2 linked regions of the Lytechinus pictus genome follow. The protein of the gene in region 2 purifies or fractionates together with the protein of the main gene of each other region. This does not show direct contact. Links are inferred from orthologs where the notes say so. Each region holds a gene or a part of one and is shown on either strand. Other genes may lie near its edges. The genes, in order: elongation factor 2b-like and protein-lysine N-methyltransferase EEF2KMT-like.

What was found.
Region 1: the proteins of protein-lysine N-methyltransferase EEF2KMT-like (region 2) and elongation factor 2b-like purify together in Homo sapiens (affinity purification with mass spectrometry; 3 studies listed by BioGRID and IntAct, counting the BioPlex papers as one, with this or other methods). This does not show direct contact. The link is inferred for Lytechinus pictus from reciprocal best matches to the Homo sapiens genes EEF2KMT and EEF2.

The regions. Positions count from the first base shown.
Region 1 is NC_087249.1:23,432,228-23,448,120, reverse strand, and holds the start of elongation factor 2b-like, read right to left. Parts: upstream 7,596-15,893; 5' UTR 5,839-7,595; intron 5,663-5,838; 5' UTR 4,386-5,662; coding exon 4,144-4,385; intron 2,807-4,143; coding exon 2,619-2,806; intron 1,279-2,618; coding exon 1,070-1,278; intron 629-1,069; coding exon 395-628; intron 1-394. UniProt on the Homo sapiens protein: Catalyzes the GTP-dependent ribosomal translocation step during translation elongation.
Region 2 is NC_087254.1:35,546,660-35,562,497, forward strand, and holds the start of protein-lysine N-methyltransferase EEF2KMT-like, read left to right. Parts: upstream 1-7,774; 5' UTR 7,775-7,909; coding exon 7,910-7,972; intron 7,973-13,506; exon of another isoform or gene 13,507-13,677; intron 13,678-13,807; coding exon 13,808-13,867; intron 13,868-14,820; coding exon 14,821-14,901; intron 14,902-15,769; coding exon 15,770-15,838. UniProt on the Homo sapiens protein: Catalyzes the trimethylation of eukaryotic elongation factor 2 (EEF2) on 'Lys-525'.

The sequences.
Region 1 (15,893 bases), on a different chromosome or scaffold from region 2:
AATAAAATACATAGGAAATTCATGGGGGGAATTTTTTGTAGATACTTGATAGAAATGTAAAGAATTATATCTTCTCCAAAAATTAGCATTCTACTAGCTATATAAAGTGAGATAAAGGCAAAACATACACAAGAAAAATTTAAGGCAAAATAATTTGCATAATTGATTAAAAAATATATTGAAAAAAAAAAATCAATATTTTGAAATTTTACAATACTGTCTTGTATTTTCCATCCGGCTCTATGCGTGTGCAAATTTTGGCGGCGGTCAAGCAATCAGCAGCTAATAAATCTGGAGGGGGGGTCAAATTTACCTCCACCCGTATATCCTGGTCTGAAATAGCCCAGTTAAATTAGGGTTAAATCCACAATTAGGTAGTCAAGTTGGGGTATACCTTGTAGATAGGATCCAGGATAAACTGACAGAATCCTCGTACATAGCCTTCGCCTCCAACCTTGTTCCATTTCTTCTCTTTCGGGTTGAAGTACTGGTCACCCCAGAGTCTCTTCATAAGCTTGGCTGGTTCAATCTTGAACTTAGAAGAATAGATCTCAGCAAACTGCTTCAGAGTGAAAGCCCATCCATGGAGGCCAGATCCAAAGCCTACAGTTCCTGCCGATGGGTCAACCTAAGTTACAAAATACATTGTTAAATGCAATTACAGGAAAAGTGGTATTTCATGAAACCATTGTCACCGTCTTAAATATCTGTCAAGTGCTTAGAAATATTGTCTCGATGTAAGGGAACCAGATTAAGGACAAAGCCTAAGTGGTAATACTTCTTCAAGAGCCTTGGACAAACCACAGAAAGAATAGGGATAGTACTGTAATACAATTATATTAGAAATTAATTTACATTTAGAAAGCAATAATTTCCAAAATATTTACTCTCAGATGGATTTTTTTTGCCATGAACTATACCAATGTCACTTATTTTCTTATTTTTTGGAACACCAGAAAGGGAAATACATTGCGATTTCCTAATTGACTTGGTCAGATTCTGGTGTGACCAACTCAAGCTGACTCTTTACAACAATAAATTTTTAAGTCTAATCCCCAACAATACCAACCTGAATGTTACCCATAGGTCCATCATCATCAGCGTATGTGGCAACAATTACGTTGACACTCTCAACAATTCTCTGGAAGGTTTGGTAGAGATCTTCCATTTCAAGCTGAAGCTCCAGAAGAGCGCGGTCCATCTTGTTCATGAACAAAACAGGCTTTATTCTCTCAGCGATGGCTTGTCTAAGAACAGTCTCTGTCTGCACACAAACACCTACAGGGACAATAAGGCATCAGACACATTTATCATTAAGTCAAAAATTTATCAAGAGAAAATTAAAGAAACACGACTCAGGGGCAGAGGTTGTAATCTCTTGGTCACATTTGCTCTACGGAGGCCGTACGGCGAGTTGAAAACAGCCGTTTTGTTAATTTTAATTCAAACCACCTATATTATATGTAGTTGGACAACAAATGTTAAAACGGCCGTTTTCGACTCGCCGTACAGCCGCCGTAGAGCAAATGTGACCAAGGTATAACCAGGGATGACCTGGTGACGGGAATTGCCCCCCGGCTAAAAGTTAGCGCAATGTCATTTCACAACCTTTTCTCTCAAAGTCCTGCCAACTTTTTGACACATTTGCACACCAGGCGATGTGGTTTTGAAATTACATGTTCACTGTAAAAATGCATGTCATACCAAAATTACTAAAAAATGTGATTTCCTGTAAAAATCAAAGCAATGTCTGTTTCTAGCCAGAATTGATACATGTAAATATCATTACTTTTACTTGTACTAATTATAATGAATTAATTTCATCACTTCATAATCAATCAATTAATTACACCCTGGTAATTAGTGTTTATGATCTGAAGTGTTCCCAGCAATTCCAATTGAAAAATCAATAAAAGATACGGATGTTTGAAGGTTTGCAAGGTGGTATTAAAAAATTGCGGAAATAGTTTATGGTACACCGTGTGTTAAGTCCTGGAGGGACAGAGATAAGAAGAAAATAGAAATGGAGGTGAAATGGAAAAGAAGAGAAAGTGGAGGTTTGAGAGTAGATTATTCTCTTCGAAAACAGTGTAGTCCTTTAAAGGACTAAACAAAAAGGAGAGGAAAGCTGATTAGTAGGCAGGCTTGAGTAGGTGGGAGAAGGCTGGCTTTCAAACCTCCACTTTTTCACCTCTCCATTTCACCTCCATTTCTATCCACTTTTCTTATCTCAGTTACTCCAGGACTTTAAAAATGGTGTACCGTTAACCATTTCCACAAATAAAAGATACATAGGGAATTTCAGTGACAGTAAAATATATATGAAAATATTTTGACCTTTTTTATGTGCATTTGATCGTTATCGGTAAGAAAATTCAGGGATAATATTCGTAATTTACAATTATATTCTTCTTTCATGCATAAATTAGCATAATTCAATAAAAATAAATTTTTAAGACTTAAGAACAATTCAAGATGCAACGTTTGCACAAATACAGTCATGGTGAAGTGTGTGTCAATTTTTGTTGTGATCTTTCAATCAACTAGCGAGATCTGGGGGGGGGGGCATTTTGTCATCCACTAAACTTTGAGTCTTATGACAGTTAAAACCTCCTTACCACTGACACAGTCCACAACAACCAAAGCTCCATCTGTAACACGCAGAGCAGCCGTCACCTCAGAAGAAAAGTCAACGTGGCCTGGGGAATCGATGAGATTGATCAAGAAACCACGGTCATTTACGTCCTTCTCTTGCGTGATGAATGACATGTCTTTTTCTGACAGCTCATAGTACATGGAGATGGCTCTATGAAACAAAAATACAGCAAACAAACATGTAGTCGGCCTGGTATAAGTAGACTTGAGTTCTCTTGAAAGGTATGGATAAATTTTTCTGGCCCAATAAGAATTATTCATAATAAAAAATACCTTTAATTACTCGATATGGGTCGACGATGTCAACTAGACTAAGCCTATAATCATTATCAAGGAGGCCGGAGCTTTTGTCTTTGCCTTTACGGGTATGATGTGGAAGACTATGCTCAGTGGCTGCAATGTAGCATTGCCTAATGTATTTTCCTGTTAAAAAAAAAAGCATCTTTTTCCCTGCTTTATAATCTCGAAAAGTCAAGTGCAGCTAATCCAGAGAAACAACAAGGCATAACCGATTTAGTGTCTCGCCCACTTATGAAAAAATAACCAGAAATATCGTTATTTGCGAGGGCACGCAACAGAATTGTATCAAAATTTCATTGTGAATAACTGGGATGTAATAACACTTGTCATAAGAGTCTTGCACGTAAAAAATAAAAACTGTTGCCATATTAAAATGACCAAAAAAGTATTTTTTCACCCACGTATAGCCCACTCCTATTATAAAGGTTGTTTTACATTATTTAATTACTATTATTTCTAAATATTGTTTTTTTTTTTTTTTAATGGTTGTTTTGTGATGAAAACTTTTTTACAGCAAAAAATGCAGGGCAAATGCTCTACAATATGCATGTAATTGTAAATCTATCATGATCTAGCGTAATCGGTTATAAAAAAGGCAATAATGTCCTTTATTCTTCATTTTCCTCTTTTTCCTAAAATTTTTTTTTTTAAATACTTTTTTCCTTCTATACTAAAATTTTGATTTCCATTACTGCCATTTCATGGTCTTTTTTTCTTTATTCTACAAATAATTCTTATTTTCATAGATTTACGTAGGAGAAAATGATTATTCTTCGTATTTTCACTAACTTTCGAGGCGTACAACACAAATAGCGAATATCCTTATTCATACAATCGTGCAACACTTCACATTCGGTGAATAGGCGAAACCTTGCACTCATGCCTATTTGCTATTTGTATATCCAGCACATGTGGCCTGATGGAAAAAAAATTTGAAGTAAAATACCAGGCTTATATAAGATGATAACCAAGTTCAACTGTAATACAGATGTATGTGCTTCCATGAAAACACCTTGTTCATCATATTGATCAGTGCCAAGACATTCATGTTTCAAGAGGGCAAGGATGGTAAGAAATCTAGGGTTGTGTGAGTACCTCCATAGGGAAATCAGAAAGGTTTGGAGATACATGTTGCATGTAGATAAAAAAGCAAACATTACTCAAATTAAACTACAAATCAATACTAACGTAGACTTGATGGTAATACAACGCTCCTGTTCATCCTTCCTGGTGTCGGTGAATCGCATCTCACCAGCCTTTGCAGTGGCAATGATTCCGGCCTTGCTCACCAAAGAGTCAGTCAGAGTAGACTTGCCATGATCGACATGAGCAATAACAGACATGTTCCTAATGTTCTGTTTTTTGTCCATGATGGTACGGATCTGATCTATTGTGAAGTTCACCTTAAAAAAAAAAAAATGACATAACATTTAAAAGTAGCCAAATAAACTAAACACCAAAAGGAAAGTACAGAAGAATACACTTATATCCATTAGGCAAGAAAATAATGTTAACCTTATCTTCAGTTAGTAATCCCTACATGTGGAGAAAAAAAAGGAGTATTTTCACCTTTCAATATCAATACTACTACCTCTACAAATATATTACGTGTTTACATGTATGTGCATGTATTTACCATTAAGATTTACAGGGACAGTGATTTTCCATTTCAGAAAATCTAAGTCTGTTTCAGCATGTCTGAAAACAGAATTTCCATTTCCCCATAGACTCTGTAAAATGAAATAGTGATAATTCTGCTTACATACCATGTAGAAATCAATACAAATATTATGCACTGAGTAGCGATGTCACAATACTCGCGCTGGGCAAACTTCACTGGTATTTCAATAAACACATTTAACATGAATACACCTATTCACCTTTCACATAATTAGCATTAATTTAGGGTTGAATGAGATTTTATTGATCATCTGGGGACTTTTTGCGATATATGCGTATCCAAACTAAGCTACTAACAAAGAGAACAAGATGGCCACTTAAACCAATATTATTCTCATGTTATTTTTCTGGTTTTTTTTTAAATAGGGGAGAGGGGTAAATAAAGGCAACATTTTTTTATAATTCCAATCATATCTCTTTAACCAAATATCTCTTTAACCAAATAGCCCCTGAAACGCCCGAGACTGCCCTTCCTGTTACACACTGAACCGCCCTTAACCGCCCGTACGTTTTATTTGCGCTATAGTATCTCTTGTATATGATTTACCGTGGTAATATTGCGTGTGCATACTGTATAGGTTGGCTGCTATATCGATCTGCATAGAAAAGTGTATGCTCCTATTGAGTATAATAGAGAACAAGTGGAATGCCTCTGGCGGTCTCACCTGCATCACACGATTCAATATAGCAGCAGTGCTGACTTTGAAAACTACTATAACTCGCACAAGATACTCAGTGATACTTGGTTACTCTTATGTCCACGTTTTATGAACTAGACCAATACACTATAGAGATATGATGGTATTTCAACAAATACCCCCAACATGGCCAAAGTTCATTGACCCTAAATGACCTTTGACCTAAATCATGTGACCTGAAACTTGCACAGGATGATCAGTGATACTTGATTACTATTATGTCCAAGTTTCATGAATCAGATCCATAAACTTTCAAAGTTATGATGGTAATTCAACAGATACCCCCATTATGGCCAAAGTTCATTGACCTTTGACCTTGGTCATGTGACCTGAAATGTGCACAGGATGTTCAGTGATACTTGATAACTCTTATGTCCAAGTTTTATGAACTACACCAATATACTTTCAAAGTTATGATGGTATTTCAACAAATACCCCCAATTTGGCCAAAGTTCATTGACCCTAAATGACCTTTGACCTAAATCATGTGACCTGAAACTTTCACAGGATGATCAGTGATACTTGATTACTCTTATGTCCAAATTTTATGAACTAGACCAATATACTTTCAAAGTTATGATGGTAATTCAACAAATACCCCCAATTTGGCCAAAGTTCATTGACCCTAAATGACCTTTGACCTAATTCATGTGACCTGAAACTTGCATAGGATGATCAGTGATACTTGATTACTATTATGTCCAAGTTTCATGAATCAGATCCATAAACTTTCAAAGTTATGATTGTAATTCAACAGATACCCCCATTATGGCCAAAGTTCATTGACCTTTGACCTTGGTCATGTGACCTGAAATGTACACAGGATGTTCAGTGATACTTGATTACTTATGTCCAAGTTTTATGAACTAGACCAATATACTTTCAAAGTTATGATGGTAATTCAACAAATACCCCCAATTTGGAAAAAGTTCATTGACCCTAAATGACCTCTGACCTTGGTCATGTGACGTGAAACTCATGCAGGACATTCAGTGATACTTGATTAACCATTAACCTTATGTCCAAGTTTCATGAACTAGGTCCATATATTTTTTAAGTTATGACATTTCAAAAACTTAACCTTAGGTTAAAATTTTGATGTTGATTCCCCCAACATGGTCTAAGTTAATTGACCCTAAATGACCTTTGACCTTGGTCATGTGACATGAAACTCAGGCAGGATGTTCAGTAATACTTGATTAACCTTATGGCCAAGTTTCATGAACTAGGTCCATATACTTTTTAAGTTACGCTGTCATTTCAAAAACTTAACCTTCGGTTAAGATTTGTTGTTGTCGCCGCCGCCGCCGTCGGAAAAGCGGCGCCTATAGTCTCACTCTGCTATGCAGGTGAGACAAAAACCGATTGACACGCATTTTGTAACATCACTTATCGAAGCAGGGTCAAACCTATTGTATTTGCGGTGTTTACGAATGGATCGAGGGATCTACAAAAGATCGGTCTGGTAAGAAACCTCTCATTTTTCATATTTATACTAAAATAATTTTAATCTATGAACCTTCATACGCCTATTGCATATACGGTAAAGGTTCATAGATAAATAAAATCAAGAGAAACAAACCGATCTCACTGTCTAATTATGTATTTCTTAGGGAAATCCATCCTTGTTGACAAGTCATCTCGCTTATGCATAAAGTCTATATGGCAAGCATTTCAAGGCTCCGTGATCAGTAGCGGCCCACGTCCAATATGGGAGACTGTCTCCCATGAGATTATCTCCCATATCAAGATACTTTTATCAAGAATTTGGGTATCCAATTTCAGAGACAGTCTCCAGTTTGGGAGACCAATTTTCTTTGTTTACATTTGCTGCAAAAGAATTAACTTGGCGGCAAATAAAAATGTGATACTGATAAGCAGATTCCTCAACTCATGAAAAATTACCCCTTTTCACCGTCTACTTTTGTTTTTATAAGGTTTTTTGTTGTCATCCACACATGAAACAAATGGGCTCTGACCTCAGTGGGACAAAATTTTGGGTGGAAAAAAAATCATGCTTTTGTTGGTGTTTCTTTGTTCTTTTGCAAAGCAAGTGTCCAATATGGGAGATTGTCTCCCTTTGGAAAGTGTCTCCCTTTGGAAAGAGTCTCCTATATTGGCCGTGCACCTCTACTCAGGGACTCGATTTTAAGGCGCGCGAGAGCGATTTTGCGCTACATGATTGGCAACTGGCTTAGTGCTTTAGGCCCTAGCTAGATATTTATTGCTGCAACTTATTTCATTATACTTATAAGCTAAGGGAAACATTGTCATCATTCACACAAGTACTATGAAATAATAAAAAAAATATTATTTTATGCAATAACATAAGAAAACAATGTGGGGATTAACCCAGGGAGCTCCCGCCCGCTGCGCGGGAGCCCAGGAGCTTACCGTGTATTTGACCATAGTCACCGGACTAGGGTGATTTATGGTCTGAATATTTCTCCAAATGAATTGTGAAAACAGAAAGTATACAATTACCACAATTATATGGATGAAGGTCTAACGAGTGGCAGTTTCCTGACATCTGGGCACAAACTGGAACCTCAAAAAACCGAAAAGTTCTCTCCTTCTACCCCCGTCTCGATCGGCCATTTTTGTTAAAAATCGTAACAAAATGGCTGATCGAGACTGGGGTAGAGGAGAGAACGTTTCGTTTTTTTGAGGTTCCAGTCTGTGCCCAGATGTCAGGAAACTGCCACTCGTTAGACCTTCATCCATATAATCGTGGTAATTGTAAGTTTCTGTTTTCACAATTCATTTGGAGAAATATTTAGACCATAAATCACCCTAGTCCGGTGACTATGGTCAAATACACGGTAAGCTTCCTGGGTTATGTGGGGATGTGACATCAGCCCACCTAAATAAATAGGTATATCAATTATCATTACTGAGTAATATTTCTAAATTCTACTCTAGTTGAGTAGTTCTTGGAGGAAAACAAATTTGAATAAACATAATTTCATATACCGGTCATGCCGGTAGGCCTAGGCCCTAAAATACAAAAGAACAAGTGGGGATGTGACATCATCAGCCCACCTACTCGACCTAGGCTAATGAATATTCAATAATTCATGACTAGGCCTACTATTTTCACAAAATATTGCTAAACTTTAAAATTCAATAACTGTTAAGTGTTAGGCCTATTTGTTATCCGATTTTGATGAAATTTTCGGCATTTTGCTCAGTGAATTCTACTCTATTTATCAAGCTATACCAATACTTTCAGCCCGGACCATCCCTTTTTTCAAATAATTCACACAACATCAACAGTCAACAAACATGAGTTAGGGACAACGGTATATTCGGTACTTGCTCTATCAAAGTCCCTACATACCATTGCGAGTGCGTCGAGCGCGTCCGTTGATCCTACGAAGCCCCAATAATGCATCCCTCTTGACTGATAATTTCACCCTAAATTCAGTTATTTCAGGTAGCTATGATATATTTGGCATTAAAAGGATCGGTAATTATTTGTCAGTAATTATTTAGTATTCTATATTTTCGAATGGCTTACCTCTACTTGTTCTTTGAATGGGAAAATATCGTACTTTGTCCTTGTATTCCACATGAACTGCAGAGTTTGTATGTGTATAAAGTCAATGGGGAAATTCAAAGTTTTGCACACGCGACCCGTCACCATGACGTCACCAGGATTGCGTGTGAGCGAGCTAAGTTTGATTTGGGGGCGGCACCCTCCAAAATTTGACCAATAAAAATTCTGCATTTGCTGCATCTTTTGGGATTTTCCCTAAATTCATGTCTCAGGGACCGTCTTGGAAGTGCATGCTGAGCTGTATAATCTTTTTGAAGGACCCACCCTATTCTACTTAAAGATATTCAATTAAAACATCTTGGGGCCCGTTTTGGGACTTTTCATTCTTAAAAAAGATGGTTTTTAGACGAAGTCTTATATCTAGATTAATTTAAGAAAAAAAAATTAGTGAATTTATTTTCAAATTTTAAAATGCAAAGCAAAAACCTCCATATGACGTGTACGTGACGTAATTATCGTCATGAAGTTGAAGATCGCGCGAAGTGGTGGGAGGGGCCTATCGCGAACGTAGACCATGTATTAGTCTTGATTCAGGCAATTTTTATGATTTGTAAAGTTCGTTTAAACTCTGTAACGTTGTGAACGGATATCATCCAAATAAAATAAATGAAAATAATTTTAAAATGTGAAAGGATGAAGGCTAGCACAATCTTTCTCTTAGGAACATTCAGCCCCCCCCCCTCCTCAGTTACAAATGTTAATCACGTGTAATCGCCGTGATACAAGGAGAGATGTTTTGGAAGGTCATGTGTGTGTGAGATATTGCACATGGCATAATGGCGGCATATACGTGTGATACAGGGAATTCTGTACAAGGATGTTTACACTTGTGTGTGAGAAGGTCTGTGACCGAGATGGTGGCATGGGAATAATGGAGTTAGAGTGGATTTAAAAACTGCGTGTGTAAAGCATGGACCTGTACGTTGCAACTGTACATTCGCTCTGGGGGCTAAATCCCAGGGCTAAATTAAAATAGGGGAATCCCCCGGTGTGTATAGTTTGATTAGTAATCAATTGTTAAGGCCTACTAAAGTATATTTTGTTTATTAAGAAATCTAAGAAATCAATGTTTTAAGTTGCAATGTTTACGCACAATATATGTATATATGCCCTCTCACAATCACACACATTTAAGATTTTATTTCTAACAGTAACATACTGATTGTTGTAAAATTAGGATACAAAAATTACTCGACGAGATGTCAGTTATTTTTTTATTTTCTAATGTATAGGCGGAGGGGGTGGGGGATGGGTTTCCTCGGTCCTGCGCCCTTGCTCTTAGCAAAAATAAATAAATGGATATCAAAAAAAAAATACCTGCAAAGAACCCGTTTACACCACCCCCCCCCAAAAAAACCCCCTGAAAATTGGAGGCCATTTATATGATTGAGCGGAGAGTTGGAAAAAAACGTTTTCGGTGAGAGACTCCCCCCCCCCCCACCCCCCCCCCCCCCCGCTGACTTTTACATCCGTAATCTGCTTTTTTATGGGAACATTCTTCTAACACTTCGTCTATCTTGCCCTGTCATGAGTGAAAATATAGTTCAAACAGGGATATGCAATATCCCTGGTTCAAACATGGACCTTTTAAAGCGTTGACAAAAAGTGGCAAAAAAGTCACGCTATTATGGGGCTTTTATACCAATGTAACCCGATATGAATAAATTAGGTATCCAATGCGACTGTCAAATTGAATTTACATCTGATTTCAAGGGATGTGCAATAGGCCTATATTGATTTTTTTTTTACACGGGGAGGGGGCCTACATAGCTCGTTTACATTTCTCGATTTTACTCCTTTTTCCGCCATGAGTCTCAACTTCCTACATGGGATATTATGGAGGATCGATGGGGTGGCCCTTAATTACCCCTTCTATATAGCTATCCCAGTAGGGGTCAGGGGTTGGATTCTGAATTAGGGTGGGGGTAAGGGTATCATCATGTAACAACGATCAGACGAGAATACTCACTTTTTAATTATTATTCTTTTTTTTTTGTTAAGTGAAAAGAGTTGCCCCCTCCTTCGGTGTCCCTGGTCGGTGCCGGTGAGTTTTCCAAAAGAAAAATATTCTGAAGGTTGCTATGGGGAACTCTTCGTCAATTTTGAGATATGACATTATTTCACTTATTTCACAAGTCATAATCATGAACATAATACAAATATTACATCAGAAGAATGAACATGACGTACAAATCAGACATGGCATCATTTATTTAAATTGAATAATACGGCGAATAGAAACATGAGGGAACCTGCATTAAAAGGCAACGTTTTATTTCTTCAGTCTGCAGGATCCAAAAAATATGAACTCTTCATGCAGGACAGCACAATAAAAATGATAATTTGATTACGTAAAGAAATGCCAAAAATATTACAACTGTAAAGAAAGTAATTCACATGGACTTTTTCGGAATAAGGAGGGTGTGAAAGAATAAGTTGTTTCTGTGAAGTTGCCGCGGTGTATACTTCAAAAGATTAATGCAGAAGGGTGTTGACAACAAAAAGAAAGTAATTTACATGGATTTTTCGGAATAAGGAGGGTGTGAAAGAATTTGTTTCTGTGAAGTTGCCGCAGTGTTGACAGACATGAAACAGCCTGTCCGATAAGGTCTTGGAAGCCAGACATTCCGTCGTCTTCGGTGGGAACATTTCATGAGATAAAATGAGTCATGTTTTTTTTTGCGTTTTCACTTCTGATTGGGTCAAAGCATTCATGTGCTGACCAGTGAAAAGCACCCCTTTCCATTGATCTTTTGAATGATCCCATGATGGGTTAGTGTGTCCTAGCCTGAATTATATAACACGAGAATACCCCCAGGGATCCCTGAGCTGGTTGTACCCCTGCCTTTCCGGTCCAGGGAATACTCCAGATGGACGAGGGCATTTACCACATCAGGTAAGAATCATCCATTACAATTCATAATTATTAATATGTAATTCAAATTTTATTTTCCACTGCGGAAATGTTCAAACCTTATTAATGTATTTTTATGTTATAGAGAGAGAATTTGAAATAAACATCCCTAAACCTCACTTAAATTATTTTAAATTGCAGTATATACAAATATTAATTTTAAATGTTCTTAATAACTTGATTCTTTTCCATGAAAACATTTTTTTCTCATACACTGACCCACCCTTTCTATAAAAAAAAAGGGAAGATACGTCCCGGTTTACGTCGTTATATATTATAGGCCTACAGAGATAAAATCACTGGCTTTTACCGTTATCTGAGATTTTTTTTAAATCATGTACGTATATAAAATAACAAAGAATATATAGGGGGGGCGCCGAACCCAAAATCCCGACAATTAACTTAAACTTTTCCTTCAACCATGCATGATGTCACTCAACACCCCTCCCCACCCCCCCCCCCCCAAAAAAAAAGATAGCAGTTAATGAGGAAAAAAACATTCATGAGCAAGGTCGACATCCCGTCCTTTTCGTAAGTGGGAACAATTTCACGGGAGAATGCTAATGGTAGAGACTGGGAGGTAGTTTTTTTATTTTTTCTTGGGGGGGAGGTAAGGCGACTTAATCAGATCGATAAAAATATCATAACTGTCTCTACCCCCCCCTCCCTCTTTCCTTATTTTTACGAGCGTGTAACACCTCAGTCACATTTTGATCTGATTTACGGCAGCCGTACGGTGGTCGAACACAGCAGTTTTATTCATTTATATTCAAACTATTAGTAACCAACCCACCTAGTATGATATAGCTATTTTTTAAAATCTTTAAAACGGCTGTTTTTTTTTATTCACCGTTCTGCCACCATAGAGCAAATGTGACTGTAGTGTATCTGATATAAAAAGGAAACATTTACAGAAAATAACAGAAAAGGAAGAGGAACAAAAATAACCTATATAAAAATTTTCCTCCAACCATAATGTCCCTCAACGCCCCCACTCCCAATACAGAGCTCCCTGTCCCTACCAGAGCATTCTCCTATAGCGTATTTCTTTGTTCCATACGAAAGGGGGGGGGGGGAGAAAAGAAATATGAGAACATCGAGTAAGGTCGACATTCAGTGGGAACAATAAAGGTGAACATATTTTCCTGGGAGAATGATCTGGTAAGGACAGCTAGGTGTTTTTTTTTTCTGGGGGGCGGTAATTAAGATCGAAAAATGAAAAATAAATAATGATCACTATTTTGACTTGGTCTTTACCCCTCCCCCGCGTAAGCCACTGGAGCCTACAACAGTCCTCTACCTCGGTCACATTTGTTTATACGACGGCCGTTTTATTCATTTTTATTCAAACCACGGAGCTATTTAAAATGTTAAGACGGGCGTGTTTTTTTTACTCGTCGGACGGCCTTTGCATGAGCAAATGTTCCGAGGTAGTAGGCTGCCAAAATTAAGAGACAGAGCTCATGACATGATTATCAGTTCGATGAATTTAATAGATGTCAAATATCACCATACTCTAGATCAAATTTAAAGTAACTTAGTAAGGAATCAAATCATAACAATGCAACAATAATTTAACGATCAAAATATCTGCATTCTGCTCTTCTTCGAGCTTGATGACTTCACAAATTAATGGCACACAAGCAATATCTGAAAACAATTTAAATACTACTTTTCCCTCTCTGTTTTCTCTCATTTCCTTGACTCACTCACGCTTTCTTTCTGTTTTATCAATGTTCGATGGACGTACATTAAAAGTGACTTTAACTGGGTGGAAATATTTCGGGACCGAGATCATTTATTGAATAACGGCGCGGGACGCGACGTCATTTACAAGACTATATTTTGGGGTCATCGGACTTACGCGATGCGCCAACGATCACCTGATATTTTCGCGCAGCTGTCTCCGTCCCAAACTGTCTAAAACTGGCCGCAAAGCCTTATTGACACAAAGCAGCGCGGACGGAGTCAATGGGGAAATTGAACGTTTTGGGCCAAGTTTGAACCCTTTTTTTCTAATTTCATTTACATGTTGGAATAACAAGACTTATTTGAATGGATAAGTACCACTTACTTTAAACAAGTAGCCTAAGTGATTTTAATATTATAAAACGAAGGAGATTTGTTTTTGTTTTGCTTCATTGGGGTCCCTACATGAGTCATGACTCATGAGTGACTCATGAGAAACAGGAGTCAGAATCAAAATTCAAGGTAACTAAGACATCACATTCACACTTTTGTCTTTAAAATGTTGGCGGGCCTATAGATTATAACAAGGGCTCCCTTGCTTACTAAAAAACATTGAAATTAAAATAGCGCAGTGCGTCACGCTCAGTCATACTCATACTCATGCACGATTACTTCGTGTACGACTCGACTGTACTGTAAGTATTGAGCAACTCTGCAACTCATTCATTCACTTGCCGGTCGATTTAGTTAATGAATTACGAATATTTACAGATTTCCCCAATCAAAAGCGTAAAATCAACATTACATAAACATTGTAAATTAGTTAAATATAATAGATGTCGGATGATTTTTCAATGATGGGACTTACCATTTTGGATATTTGCTTTGTTTCTCCCACCAGATGTCAATAAAATGTTACTCGGTTTACGCCGGTAACTGAAAAGGATGCAACGTATGCAGCTTAGCAGCTATGCGCTAGTGCACAGCTGCAGTGCGATATATGCGTGCGATTTAGCTTGCGTATACGGTCCGTGTGTTAAATCTTGGTCGTCGGGCGATCGACGTTAATTGTCTGCCGAAGTCGCGCGCTTGATAAGTGTGTTTCGCTAGCGAGCGATGTGTGGAATGTGTAGTGCACACATAGAGATATATATAATACATCTCTATGAGTGCACACAGTCAAATTGTGACATTGCGCAACATCCGTGACACACGCGTGTCAGGTGATGTCGCAATAGCCAGGGGAAACACATGTTGTTTTTCTATATTTTGAGCCTATATTATTTTATCAATAGGGGCCGCGGAACCAGAGGAAGGGGCTTCAGAGTCAGACCCAAATTTTGTTCAGTAATGTAGGCATGGATGTCGATAGGTGTTCATGGTATAGGTCACATGGATGGGGTCCCATGGAGGTGTTCCCCAGAAGGAAAAACCAGTAAGACCAGTATTTTTTTTTACTGGTTTCCAGTAGATTTTTACTGGTTTCCAGTATATTTTTACTGGGCCAGTTGATTTTTAACTGGACCAGTAAAAATCAACTAGAGACCAGTTCCAACAACTGCATTCCAGTTGAAGCAATCAGTAATACCAGTTAAATTGTTTTTCATCAAACTGATGCTACTGGTCCAATAAATGGTTTCCAGTAGATTTTTACTGGTTTCCAGTATATGTACTGGACCAGTTGATTTTTAACTGTACCAGTAAAAATCAACTGGAGACCAGTTCAAACAAAGTAGTAATACCAGTTAAATTGTTTTTCATCAAACTGGTGTTGTACTGGTCCAATAAATAATGATTTTATTTCAAGTCAGATCATATGACGAATTATGGAAAATGAATCTTGCAATTCAGAGAAAGTTATTACCGTTATCATTTATCATTGTTATCATCATTCTTTTTATAATTAATATAATTATTATGATTATTATGATCATTGTTGTTATCATTCTTATTACTGTTATCATTGTTATTGATTTTGTAATTATTATTATTAATATTATCATAATTATCAAGTATGAACATTATCATTAAAATAATTATTTCCTTTTTTAAATGATTAAGATAAATCAAGATATATTCCTCTGATAGAGTCAACTGGTCTTAAGTAATTCATTGTTTGAAATTGAACTGGTCAAGACCAGTAATACCAGTAATTCTGATGATGCTGATCACATGGTTTACCTCATTTGCATATTTCCTGTTTTTTAAAGAAAAATCAGGATTTAGAATGGAATATCCTTGCAATGGCACTCATTGTTGTTTAAAAACTTTCTAAATAAGTGTGTGAACTAATTCACAATGAAAATGTGTAATTTCATACATCACATTTAAAATAACAGCAGAAAGATTAATTTACTAACCATTTTTTTCATCACATTTCACTGACCATGGTATATAA
Region 2 (15,838 bases):
CTCAGCACGTACGCACACCCGCTTCTCATGCATATAATGATCGAGGGCCAGGGGCGTCGATCCATTTTTGAGATTGGGGGGGGGGGGCAAAATCATGAATCAACATTCCAAAAAGGCGCTCGATCACACAAAACAAACAAACCCACATGCACACACACATAGGCCTATATATATATATATATAAATATATATATCTATATATAATATATATGACTCATGAGAAAGAGACACATATCTCACCAAAAAATTAATCAACAAATTGATGCGAGAGCGAAGCACGAGCTGAATTTTTTTAGTGTACTGACCTAATAACCGCAAAAAGGTAACTTTGTAGTATAACTCAAAGACATGGGGATACATAATTATCACTACACACATAATGCAAGTGCCGAGAGCGAGCTGAAATTTTTTATATTTTCACCTGAAAGCTTGATATTCTAAGCATTTTTGGTACCAATGATTAAGATGGGTAATAGATGCGAGCGCGAAGCGCGAGCTGAAAATTTTGATATTTCGATCTGAAAAAATTGAGTTTAATGGACGTTTTTAATAAAGAACAAGATATATATCCAACAAAAGATTATTGCAAATCGAAGCGAGAGTTCTTTTGAGGTTTAGAACTGAAAATGCCATTCTATTCACCTATTTAATCATGAAAAGTATGGGTTTTTGCTCCAGAAATATGATGCGAGCGCGAAGCGCGAGCACGATTTTAAATAAAATCGAGTTGTGTATCTCAATATCGCTTGCTGATTTTTGTGTAACATTACAATCTTATTTTATTTTTGCACATGCGGAATTATTGGGGGGGGAACGATGTTTGCCCCTCAATATTTTAATTGGTGAGGCGATCACCCTTCCCCCCTCCCAGCCCCCAAGGATCGACGCGAGTGCGTATATAGTGCGAGCTCAAAAATTTTCGGCAACTTCTCCAGTGAACAATTTAAGTGCATAATTATCTCTCTCTGCATGTAAAAAAAGAAAACTCCAATATCAACTTGAAGGAGAATAATTTTTGCAGACTAATTTCAAACGGGATATTTAACGGTCCATTCTTAACCTCTTAATTGAGCAGATTATTATCTCACTCAACTAGTAGCTGGCGACTTGCCCCCCCCCCCCCCCGCGAAATATTCGGTTTCAGCATTTCTTTAAAGGGGAAGTTCACCCTGACAAAAAGTTTATTGTAAAAATAGCAGAAAAAATAATAAAAAATATTGCCAAAGGTTTGAGAAAAATTCATCAAATAATTAAAAAGTTATTATAATTTCAATTATTTGATTTGTGACGTCATGTGCGAGCAGCATTCCTACATAGCGAATGGTAAAGAATCAATGAAATGTCATTTTCTCAGAAAATTGAAAATGGTTTTCACTGTACCTTTTGTATATCAATAGACAAATCATTTCACACCCGATCATGAATAGAAAAAAAATTAAGTCATCAGGAACCATACAAAATTTGAAATTCATGCATTTTATATTACATAACACATGGGGCAGCTGCTCGTTTATGACGTCACAAATCCAAAACTTTGAACTCTAATAACTTTCTTACTCTTTAACGGATTTTCATCAAACCTTCACCAATATTTTTTACTATATTTTCTGCTATTTTTACAACAAAGTTTTCTTCAGGGTGAACTTCCCCTTTAAAACCTGATCGAATTACTGACATATACGGTTTATCTTCCCTTCCCATATATTTCATTCACTTTTCTTCCTCTCCTTGTTTTTTTCTTCTACCCTCTTTTTCTTTTCCCCTTTTCCATTTTTCGCCGCCAATATAGGGGTGGCCGCTAATTAGAATTTGACAAATTAATAGCTATTGGTTTTTTTTCGACCTAGCTATACTCGTTGGAGGTTTATATGAAGATATAAATGATGTCGATTTTAAATGATATTAAAATAAACCAAAGGGAGTGAGAGGAAGGAAAAATAGAATTGGAAGGAAGAATGAAATAAATGGAGGAGACACATATTTTTTTCCGCCCACCCCCACCCTTTAGAATGCCGGATCGACCCTGCATCCCCCCCCCCACCCCACCCCACACACCCTCACAAATTAAGACCCGCATCTCTGCATTCTCCTACAATTAATTGCGCAATGTCTGCCACGTGAGTCCCGGAGGCGCGTTTCCGTTTTACACCCTGGCGAAGGCATTTTCCGCAAAAATAGCCACAAAGCGACTAGTGAAGAGTCTACACACGTCGCTGGTGGCAGCGTGCGACACAGGCGAGTCCCACACCACCGCATGCAGTCTGCACAGTTACTGATCAGAGCATTTCATGTACAGAGAGCAGTCATATGAGTGAAATCCGAACCGAACATGCTTTTGCAGTTAGGTTTTTTTATATGAAAAGTTAAGAAAAAGTTTTTTTTCTAAATATAAATTATTAACTAAATGAATAGAATGACAGACAAAATAAACAGATACATACAATAGAAAGAAAATTGAAATTTGATGGATTGATACACTTAGATGCCGAAAGATAGATATAGAAGACTGATAAATAGATAGAGACATAGATAAATAGATAGAAGTAGAGAGAGAGAGAGAAAGACAGAGAGACGGATAGATAGATAGATTGATAGATAGATGGGGGGGGAGAGAACTTGATAGATGGAGAGATGTTATAGATAGATGGATAGATAGATAGATGGATTGATTGATAGATAGATAGATAGATATATGGACGGATAAAGAGAAATAGAGAGAGAGAGAAAAAGACAGACAGATGGATAGATAGAGAGAGAGAGGGAGAGAGAGAATCTGAGAGATAGATATTAGATAGATAGATAAAGAATGAGAGAGACAGAGAAGATGGGCAAATTAACAGATAGATAGATACTGTAGTTACATAGATAGATAGATAAATAGATAGAGACATAGATGAATAGATAAAAGTAGAGAGAGAGAGAGAAAGAAGAGAGATGGATAGATAGATAGAGAGAGGGGGAGAGAGAGAGAGAGAGAAAGAGAGAAAACAAGACAGATGGATAGATAGATAGATAAAGAATGAGAGAGACATAAAAGATTAACAGATAGATAGATAGATACTGTACATAGATAGATAGAGAATTTGAGAGATATATTTAAAAATAGATAGATAGAAGATAGATAGATAGAGAGAGAGAAAGACAGAAAGATGGATAGATAGATAGATAGAGAGGGGGAGAGAGAGATAGAGAATTGAGAGATAGATATTAGATAGATAGATAAAGAATGAGAGAGACAGAGAAGATGGGCAAATTAACAGATAGATAGATACTGCAGTTACATATAGTTAGATATAAGATAGATAGATAGATTGATAGAGAGAGAACTAGAGAAAGACAGATGGATAGATAGAGAGAGAGATAGATAGATGTTAGATAGATAAAGATTGAGAGACAGAGAAGATTAACAGATAGATAGATACTGTAGTTACATAGATAGATAGATAGATAGATAGATAGATAGATAGATAGATAGATAGATAGATAGATAGATAGATAGATAGATAGATAGATCTATATAGATATAATTTGAGAGATAGATATATAGACGGATAGAGAGAAAAAGACAGACAGATGGATAGATAGAGAGAATTTGAGATCAAAGACTGAAATAAGTGAATGTTTACATACAAATAGAATCATAACAAAATATAAAGTAAACATTATGAATAAATATCAAATACAATACAAATTCATACAGATGAAAAAGAAATGTATCATAAATAAATACAAAGGGCCAAAAGTAATACAAAGTGTCACCAAAGAAGAAAAAAGCGGAATGAAAGATTAAGAAGAAAGAGATGGGAGAAGGGAAAGAAATTGGGATAAGACAAAGAGAAGGGAAAGCAAGAGGGGGAATTTGAAAGAGAATAGGAGGCAACCTTCAGAAAAAAAAACTCATTATGCAATACAAGACATTTAACAATGGTAACAAGTAAATAAAGTAGTAATTGAATCGAATCGAGCACAAAAAAGGGAAAAGTAGAGCTGAGGAAATAGACTCCCGAAGGAAGTCGAGGCAGTGTTGATATTGCACATGAGTAGATTAATAGATGGATAGAGAGAAATAAAAGAGAGACAGATGGATAGATGGATAGATAGATAGACAGATAGATAGGTAGATAGAGAATGAGAGAGACAGAGTAGATAGACAAATTAACAGATATCATGTAGTTCCATAGATTGATTTATAAGATAGATAGTGGATAGACAGATATGATAGATATAAGGATAGATATAATATGAAAAAAAGGTAATTATGTGTTTTATTTTTCAATATTTTAGCTATTATTCGTTTTCATTCATAAAAACGATCATGTGCGATAAAGTTAAAAAAAATCATGAAGCCAACGTATATAGTTCAGCGGAACAACCAAAATACAGAGACTGAAGCTTTTGGTCTATAAGCTCAGCTGCATTTGCACGTATGTTCTGCGGATATCTTCGGTGCGGACTTTTGGATCGCGCGCCCAGCTGATTATGTAAACAAACGTTGACGTAGACTCTTCACTAGTCGCTTTGTGGCTATTTTTCCGGAAAATGCCTTCGCCAGGGTGTAAAACGGAAACGCGCGTCCCGGAGCTCGGAGCTGAAAGTGCTATCGGCTTGCGGTGCGCTGCCGACGGCAGGCGGTATGACTACTACCCTACTACCCATACCTTCTTCTTCTTCTTCTGTATCCTTCCTCCGCTGTATCGGAGATCCGCAGTTTAATACTGCATTAACATTAGCGTTACATATTTTGACGTGAGAGTAAGGTAGATCGAGAGAGGTGAATCTTATGCAAGAAATTTAAGACAAGTAGGTTGAGGTCGTTTCTGGAGGAATCTGCTAATTCGACGTCAGGAAGAAACAGGACGGAAGCGGTAAATTGTTGAGGTTCTTGATCTTTGAAATGCACAGAAAAATACTGCAGTTCCTCGTCTTCTTTTATTAAGTTTAGAAGGGTTTTCCTGTGTGTGCTAAACGCTGGGCATTCTCCAACAAAATGTACAACACTTTCCAGTTCGGAGTGGCAGAACTTGCAGGACTTTGTGGTACTTTGATTCAGAGAGAATAACCTTCTATTCGTTGGGTATGTACTGCAGGATAATTGAGCTCTGATGGACATAGCTTCCCTCAGGAGAGGGCTGGAGACTTGCTTTGGGTAATAATTCTTTTTATCACGTTGGGTCATGCCCGACCATAGACTTAGAGAAGATTTTGTAGCAATTGCAATTTCAAGGGCAGCATAGTGTTGTTTATAAATTTTTCCCAGTGCTAGCTTCTTCCATACTTTATATGGAATGCGATCTCTAAGGATGTTAGGGAGACTTGGAAGCTCATAACTATTGAGGATTTTTATCCAGCGTCTTACCAAAGGTGTATTGTATGCTATACCATTCAACAGGATTCTTCTCTCAGTGCGTTCGTCTGAAAGGCTTGCATATTGCCCAAGTAAGAGAAGAATTTCATAGTCGATTCGCTTATCCATTGGGAGGATATCGAGCAATAAATAAACAATTTCGTCCGCCGCACTCCTTGGCAAACCAAGCACTCTTTTAAAAAGAAATGTTTGGGCCTTGTTCAAACGGGACAGCATGTAGTTGGTAAGTTGAATAATCTGAATCCCATATAGCATTCTTGGTATGCAGAACATTTTCCAAAGATGAGTACATATTGGTGGCAGCAGGCGTAGAGTTCCTTGCTTAGTTCCAGTGAGAGAGAAGAAGGTGTTATATCCCTTTGAAATGATGTTATTGGTATGGTCAATATTACAATTGCTTTTTACTATGCCAAGGTGTGGGTGCTCTCTGCTTTCCTTGATTGTCATTCCTCCCATTTTCCACTCGACTGAACTTACACTGGTTGATGCTTTTTTGTTTATTACTACTACGGCACTTTTTTGTGGATTAATTTTATATCTCCAATCACAGGAATAAGAGAAGGTGAGATCCAGCATTGATTGGAGTTCTCGGGGGCATGTACTAATTAGAGCAACGTCATCTGCTAGTACTATCACTCCCATGTAGCAACCATTAATAGAGCATCCAAGACAAGCGTTCCTTAGTGATTTGATCAGGCCATCGATGAAGACTGTATATAAGGTGGGAGAGAGCACACTCCCCTGTTTTACACCTTGAAGGATTTGAAAAGGAGAGCTGACTTTTCCTTCCCACATGACTCTACTGGTACTACCGTTGTAGAACTCTTCCAGTGTAGATAACAGGGATTCATGGAGGCCTAGGTTTTGAAGCTTAGAAAATAGGCCTTTATGCCAAACGATGTCAAATGCTTTCTGTGCGTCGAGAAGAGCAAGGTATGTTGTACATTTCTTGGCAGAGTTCAGTTGGATTATTAATTCCAGTGAAGATGCAGTAAGGAGGCAAGATTTGCCTTTCTGGAATCCAAATTGTAACTGGTCTGGGACATCATTTATTGCGAGTGGAATTTCTAGTTGAGATTTGATGAGCATTTCCAAAACTTTACCAATTGTTGAAGAAACTGTTATGCCTCGGTAGTTAGAAGGATCTTTTACATCTTTTCCCTTTCCTTTGTGAACTGGGACTATAAGGCCGGACTTCAAAGGTTCAGGAATATACTTTAGGGATATACATCGATTGATGAGGGCGAGAAGTAATTTCCGAGCTATTGGGCCAAGATATATAAGATGCTCAGGAGATATATTATCAGGTCCTGCAGCTTTTTGTTTCTTGAGAGAATTAATAGCTTCATCTAGATCTTTTGAAGTAGAGGGTTGAAGTGGTTGATTCAAATTTTCCTGGAACGGGCGAGTGGGAATAGCTTCATCCAATTCAGGCGGAGAAGAGGCATTCATGTAATCCGGTTTAGCAAGATCTGAGAAATGTGAGTTGAAGCCATCTAAAACTGCCTCTCCTTCATATGTTGTACCCCTATAAGACAGTGTATCAGTGGACCGAGATCCTTTAGTGCTTTTGACAAGCCTATAGAAGAGTTTATCATTGCTACCTTTAGCATCCTCAATTTCTGAAAGGAGATTATTGTGATACATCCGCCGTGCTTGCCTGATGCTACTTCTAAATAGACGTTTTGTATATACATGCTTGATCCAGAGAGGGTCCTTGCCTTTTGGTTTTCCGCTGGCCCTCCAGAGACGCCAGTAATATTGAGATTGTTTATAACATGCCTCTACCTTTTTGGTCCACTCTCTTTTCCCTTTCCTTTTTCTTTTCTGACGGCCCTTCGAGTGTGGTAGAGTTAGTGATACCTTCAACATTTCTTCGCTAAGTTGATCAAGCAGCAGGTCGATTTGAGTCGGATCCAAGCACATTGCAGGAAGATTATAGAAAAGGTTCTTTGATATTTGTTCCATAGGAAGAGTATAGAGAAGGTGTAGCTGGTCAGCACTGCACTGATGCCAAGATATCTTAGGACGAAGTATAGACTTTCCAGATCCTTTAGCTTTGCGATCAGGTATATCATGATCTACTTGATAATTGGCTAAAAGTGGTAGTGAAAATGTCACTTTAACCGGTGTGTGGTCAGAGGTGTTTAAAGGATCGTCATGCTGAATAAGAAGGTCAGAGAAGCAGTTTTCGAGTTTTGCAGGAATTATGAAGTCATCAATGTATGATTGTCGTAAACCATCATCTGATTGGAAGGTGTATAGCTCCTTTTTATTTTGGAGAGATGATAAGTTAATCATGTTCTCACTAATCAGAAATTCCTTTAGAATACGCTTTGTAGGTTTCTTACACGATGCATTTGTCAGATCAGCATTCAGATCTCCACCAAGTATAATCAGGGCCTCTTTATACCGTACCGCCGGCCGGCACGAGCTAGCTCTGGACGAGTCACGAGTACGGTACGCTATCGAAGACTCGAGGGTGTTCGTTTTAAGTTATTCTTGTTAAGCTGTTGCAGTCTGATGAATAGACCTTGAAGCGATATGGAAATGGACCAACTTGTGAACCAATATTTTGAAATGATCCCACTTCGACACTTGAGTTGGGTGAGTATTTTTTACGAGAATTATCAACCTGTTCACAACCAATGGCAATGGCAATGCAAATAATTCATGGCCTAATATACGGTAAGGGCTCCCGCCCGCGAAGCGGGCGCGCGGGAGGTCCCTTGGTTAGATCATGTCCTACCTCGGGCGAAGTTCGTGCAGACTACAGCCTGTACAGGCGCCATTACCGCTACACTACGCTCCACCTGCCCGAACATCGAGTCCGTAGGTGGAGCGCAGTGCAGCGGTAGTGAAGTGGAGTGAAGTGAGCTTACACGAACATCGCTCGAGGTAGTCCATGTCACACATGACTAAACCAGGGAGCTCATGATGTCCATAAGATGATATTTCGCATGAGGTGAAAGAAAGATGCTCGGCATAATCGTGATATAGTCCCCAAATCCCAAAATGGGGATTATTAGATTCGCACAGCTCGAGAACTTGCGAAATGATAACACACACAAATGAAACACACTTACACTTGGGTTCTCTCCCTATTATATACTCGTGATACAGTCCCCACTCTACGGGAAATCAAGTTTGATTTTCACGGCGGTGGGGACAGTTTCAACAGTATAGTATACTCGTGATGCAGTGCCCGCGCTATGGGATACACAGTTCACTTTGCACGCAGTGGGGACAGTTCAAACAGTATAGCTATACTCGTGATACAATCCCCACACTATGGGATACACATTTCGTTTGGCACGCAGTGGGGATAGCTCCAACAGTACTCGTGATACCGTCCCCTCACAACATAAAATCGTGCTTGTTCGACAAGGGGATGGGGACAGTTTCCCAGTGCAACGTGACAAGGAAGACTCATTCAAAACCTTCGGGAATTAGTATCAGGGTTGGCACGTTTTAAACGGTGTGTTTTAAAACATGTTTTAAAACACGTTTTAAAACACCCGTTTTTTTTACAAAAAAAACGTGATTTAAAACGCCTCATAGACTTGTGTGTTATGAATATGCATGGATGTGATTTTACATGAATATATTTTTTTATACTTTTATTTCTGAAGTGGTATATTATTTTCTTCTAACTAAATCTCTTTCTCAACACCACTCTTTTTCTCCTCTCTCTTTCCCCCCTTCTCCCTTTTTCCATTGCTTTGTCGTGTTCCTTTCCTCCTGTTCAATTATGTACATCAATCTATATATTCTCATTTTAACAAGCATTTGAGTGCTGTGCTCACTTTTAGACAGGGAAAGAAACACTATTAAAAATAAGCTCAAATATGTAATAGTAGTACTTGAATGAAATGGAAGTGTTGCACAAGCACAATAATATTTTGCAAATAGACAGTATAACTGACATTGTAACCTTGAGGTACACACTAAAGTAGGTGAAACTTTGCGCTTCGTAAAGATGAAGAAAAGTAGTTTAATTTATAATAAGATAATCAGCTAGCAAACCTTAAAGGACAAGTCCACCCCAAGAAAAAGGTATTATGCTGAAAATTTCATCAAAGCGGATGTAAAATAATAAAGTGATGACATTTTAAAGTTTCGCTTAATTTCGCAAAACAGTTATATGCGCATCCTGGTTGGTATGCAAATGAGGGGACTGATGACATCACTCACTATTTATTTTGTATGTCGTTTTTTTCTCATTGTCATGTAAAATATAGTTTTTTCCTCCCTGAACATGAGTGGAACTACAATTGTTTTAACATTTTTTGGTTCAGTCAAGTTGGTCATTATTATCAAATCTGTATAAATTGAAATATTGTATTGTTCAAACAATTAAAAAAACAAAAGAAATAGTGAGTGAGGGACATCATCAACTCTCTCATTTGCACATCACTGAGTTGTTATAAATGTTTTGTGAAAAATAAGCGAAACTTTAAAATGTCGTAACTTTCTTATTTCACATCCGATTTCGATGAAATTTTCAGCATTATGCTTGTTTGAATTTTTTCTACTGATTCAAATCAACATTTTTCTGGGGTGGATTTGACCTTTAACCCTAACAATCCCAGGGGACTGTAATGGCCCCCTTAAAAATTTCTATGATAAATCCATAAGCACGGCAGGGCCACGCCATATTGTTCAAGACTATTTTTTGGATACATGCATGGATATGCGGTTATGATATTACCATGGAGCTATCAGCACATTGATAGCTCCATGATATTACACAAGTGCATGTCAGACCAGAATTGCTCAATATCGTGATTTCATGTATAAAGCCAATGCAAATTTTTTGCCAACATTTGATCTGTATCAATATTTGTGCTTTTTGTTAATGATTGGAAAATTATTACCAATAATTTTCATTAAAAAACTTTTAAAAAAAACCAAAAGTAACCACAAAACTGTACATAAGAAATATTAAAAAAACAAGTTAAAAAAAACATTGAAAAAAACAATTTGATCAGAATTCCTCAATTAAAGAAATAAGCAGTTCAAGGGCCTAATATTTATAGATTTAAACCCAAACTTATATTTCATGCACTTGTGGGTACCCGGTAGGATGCGAAAATCATTGTAGCTTGTCCAGTACTGTGTGCGCCTCACTAGCGACTGACTGGAATACTACCCAGGGAGTGGAGGATGTGCATGCATTGTGTGCGGGAATGACTGATTGATCCGATGACTGGCTTAATAATATATCTGTAAAGTGCTTAGACACATCGTTCCAATGTATTAAGCGCTATATAAAAGCGGACTATTATTATCATTATTATTACTTAAAATTGGTATAATTGATTCAAATGAAATAAAGCATATTGAGTAAATGAAATTAAGCTTTGAAAGCCTATATTCTATAGATTATGTTGTTTTCTTACATAGCGCAACTTCTTCTCACCCCCTAGATTGACAAGACTAAAAAACCCTGAGACTACATGTATGAGGAATAAACTTATAAAATGTCAACTTAATTTTTCGGCATTCAATTTCCTTGATTTAGTAATTTTGGGAAAAATATGAATTTTTCTGTTGAAAATTCAGTAACAAAAATTGTAGTCATCTCTTACTTACTCCATAAATGTATTTAAAACATCAAGAGCTTAAATCATACTGTATTAAGTGTATAATTTAATTGATTTACAGGAAAATTACATCGTTCGTTGGAAAAAAAAACGTTTTAAAACGATTTAAAACGTTTTAAAACAATAAAAAACGTTTTATTTGTTTTTTTTAATAAAAAACGTTTTTTATTACAACCCTGATTAGTATTGTCATCATCATATTATATTATCATTTTATCATTATTAATATTTTATTATTATTATTGTTATTTAATCATAATTATCATTATTGTTATTATCATTATTATTGTTATTTAATCATAATTATCATTATTATTGTTATTATTTATTTTATTATTACTATCATCATCATACATCATTATTATTTTTTATCATTGTTATTATCCTTTATTATATTATTATTATTGTTGTTTTTATTGTTAGGCCTATTATTTTTATTATCAATATTTTGTTATCATTATTAATATAATTATTTTTATAAATATCATCATATATCATTATTATTCTTTATTATTGTTGTTGTTATTATGGTTATTATTCTTTATTATATTATTATCATCATCATTATTCTTTATCATTGTTGTTGTTATTAATATTGTTATTATCCCTTATTATATTATCATTGCTGTTGTTATTATTTTTGTTATTTTTATTATATTATTATTACTATCATCATAATAAATATTATTCTTTATTGTTGTTGTTATTATTATCATCATAATAGTGATAATAGTATAATAAATTATTATATTATTATTATCATTATTATTCTTTATCATTGGAAATGTGCCCCTTCCATCCAGTCCGTTCCTTGTATTTCATTTAATTCCTTCAAATGAAATCACTGTAGACTCATTCATAACTTTTGGGTATTATCGTAATTATTATCATCATTATTGTCATTATTTTTTATGGTATTTATTTATTATTTACTTATTATTGTTATCCTTATTTTTTGTTAACATTATTTATCTTTTATTTTTATGATAATAATTATTATTGTTATTATTCTCTATTATTACCATTATATTTACCTTTATCATAATTATTATCAACATCATTATTGTTATTAATCTTTATTATCATCATCCCCATCATTATACTATTGTTGTTATCATTACTTTACTTTTCATTTCTGTCACATATTGGTATTGATTACTTTAATGTTTTGGGGTGACTCTTTCAATAATAACAACAACAATAATGAAAATGATGCCAATGATGATCAGGTATTATGATAATAATTAATACCCAAACATTATTACGAGTCTACAGTGATTTCATTTGAAGGAATTAAATGAAATACAAGGAACAGAATGGATGGAAGGGGCACATTTTCAATGATAACGAATAATAATTATAATGATAATATAATAATTTATAATATCATCATCATTATTATAATAATGATAATAACAACAACAATAATAAAAAATAATAATGATATATGATATGATAGTAATAATAATAATGATATTAATAATATTGACAATATTTAACAATAATTATAATAGCAATAATAATGATAATTATGATTAAATAACAATAATGATAATAATAATAATAATGATAATAATGATTAAATAACAACAATAATATGATAAAATGATAATAATGATAATATATGATAATGACAATAATAATAATAATTCCCGAAGGTTTTGAATGAGTCCTCCTTGTCACGTTGCACTGGGAAACTGTCCCCATCCCCTTGTCGAACGAGCACGATTTTATGTTGTGAGGGGACGGTATCACGAGTATAATATACTGTTGGAGCTATCCCCACTGTGTGCAAAGTGAACTTGATTTCCCGTAGAGTGGGGACTGTATCACGAGTAGATACGGTTCTCGGGAGAGAATCCAAGTGTAAGTGTGTTTCATTTGTGTGTGTTATCATTTCGCAAGTTCTCGTGCTGTGCGAGAGTTGGGGACTGGGGGACTGTGTTCTGGAGAAAGGAAGTGATTTTTCATGCGTTCTGGTAGGTGTGATTCAAATAATCCCCATTTTTGGATTTGGGGACTATATCACGATTATGCCAGATGCTCTTCAGTATTTTGGTCTGTTTGTCATTAAGATTCATAAAAGACTCAAGAAGTACATGATGATGAGGGCTTGATTTGTGAATTGAAGATGTTCTGTGCACCACCAAAGATTTGGGAAGGGAAAGCATTATTGGCACCATGCAAGCCTCTTTATTTAACTATATTGACTCGCCTTGAGGGGAACATTAAATATATCGCCAGTAATCCTATTGGCCCAAGTCTTTAGACTCTTTTGAGTCTTTAGATGTGGGCAATATGGTTCTGTTATTGTTAAGGGCAATATATTTTATGTTTCCTGAAAGAAGAGCCAGTCAAATACTTTTATTATCCAAATCAGACATCTAAAGCAAAATCGAAAAAATACAGATATTTTACTTTTTCAGAATGTGATTCTATTTTTTCATGTTGAGCAGGCTGTGTCTCTGAACTACATGTATACAATTGTGACGTATTTGAAATGTTGCCGTATCCAGCTTTTGTCTCATCTTGTTTGACATTATGACTTACATATATATTGTGCTGTGTGGATCAATATGACGCTTTTTAATGTCTTTCTACATGTATGCGTACTCAGATGCCCGGATGTGAGCCCAGGGAAAATGCAACTATATTTGGGTCGTCTCAGCATACAAAGTCAGTACGGCCATAAAGACCGATGAAAATGTAAATAATGTACCTATCGATCCTTCCCGATCTTTATGAAAGCTAGGGCAATATGGTTTTGTAAATTTTCAGCTCAGACGTCTGATACGGGTATTAATATCTTTTATTTCATTCTATGTTTCCAATTTAGGGGGATGCCTTTAATTCAGCTGCTCCTTCGCTAGAGAAACAACAGAACATTCTCAAAAAGGTATGTCAAGATGTCAAGTCAGTTCACTATGGCTTAGGTATAACTTTAAAAATGCTACTACAACTACATGTAGCTATGTAGTACTACCACGTCTACTACTGCTATGAATAATACTTCTGCTGCTAGCTGCTACTACTACTACTACTACTACTACTACTACTACTACTACTACTACTGCTACTGCTACTGATACTGCTACTGCTACTGCTACTGCTACTGCTACTGCTACTACTGCTACTACTGCTACTACTACTGCTGCTACTGCTACTACAACTACTACTACTACTACCTACTGCTGCTACTACTACTACTTCTTCTACTATTACTACTACTGCTGCTGCTACTATATATACTATTTCTACTACCGGTGCTACTGCTACTATGTATACTATTTCTACTACTTCTATTACTACTACTACTACAACTAGTACTGCTACAGTTATTTACTATTTCTACTACTTCTACTATTTTATCTTCTGTAGTCTATGATGCACAGTATCCTACATTTAGTTGTGAACTGAAGAAGACTTTAGGTTGGATGGAAGCTCTATCACATACATGTAGGCCTATTTTTTTAATCAAATATTTTGTACTTCGCTGTGGCTTTATTGTGTTTGGAAGTGACCCTGCTGCTGCTGCCTCAGCTACCTTACTGCAACTTCTACTTTCATTTCACTGATGCATCGGCAATATCACCTCTCTTTTTTTTGCTATTGCTAATATTGATAAGGAATGATACTGTGGAAAACTTAGATAATTTAAATGTAGAGCTACAAATGTACATATAGCAATTTTGTCTCTCTTTATCTGTCAATTCTGAGAACCTCGTTATAATTTTGTCGCACATGCACAGTATGTGTATTATGCTCTTTTATTGATTGTATCTCGTCATTTAATCATTTTACCAGCCAAACTACGGCTCTATAAATCTATGATTTTGTTTTAATTCACAGACTTTGATGTCATCCGTGTCCAGAGATTTCCCTCCAACACTCAAATACAGAAGACTCTTCGCCAAGCACATTTTGAAACAGGTTAGTTTAAGTAGACATTAGATCACATGTTGATCTATCTTTGTGCCCCTGCATGTTCTTCAGCCACAGGTAATTCTTGATGTCTTGTCCTGTGGGAAATAGTCAATACTTGATTGACTGTAGTGGTTCCTTGGCCCTGTGTTAGGTCATGGGAAGAAAATAGTATTCAGTGTCCCATCTTACAGAAACTTACAATTAATCCGATTAACTTCAACTAAATGGAAATCCATCATTGTTTTGAAAAAGAATGGACCTAAATAGAAAATGTTGAATGAAATTATTTTTTCAAGAAAAATAAAAGCTCTTCCTATTTTTATTTTTTTTTCATTATTATTCGGCAAATAATATTAAAAAATACATTTCAATGTAAACAATACAAAATAAGAAATATCAACCATTGGAACGCCAGGGACAGAAAAAGTTAACTTAATTACAGACCCCTAAGCTTGACCAAAAAATCCAATTCAATTCACAGTGGTTTATTTAAGTAAAAAAAATACAAGGCAAGCATGTACCTAAGTTAAAGTTTTGACAATAACTGTATATTTAATTTAAATTGATAAGACATAATGTACAATATTCAATATTATGATGGCATGGTACAACACAACAGCAAAGACACACACACAAAAATCACATGCCTGTACATGTAGCATAACATAACCAATACAACATAACGCCACTAACAATTATCATAGAGCATAAAACAAAACAAAATCATATGAAAAATGAAATTGAAAGTTTCATAATCATTATGATGAGACAAAAGTAATTGAAATTTAACTGTACAACGTTACAAAAAAAAAGAAGAATCAATAGTGATATTGTAATTTGTTTTATGATTATCTTTATATCTCATTCATTTCAGTGTGAGGAGTATGGTGAAGAGATAGCAGAAGAACTGTATGAGGTATACTCCACATTGGTGGCACAGAAT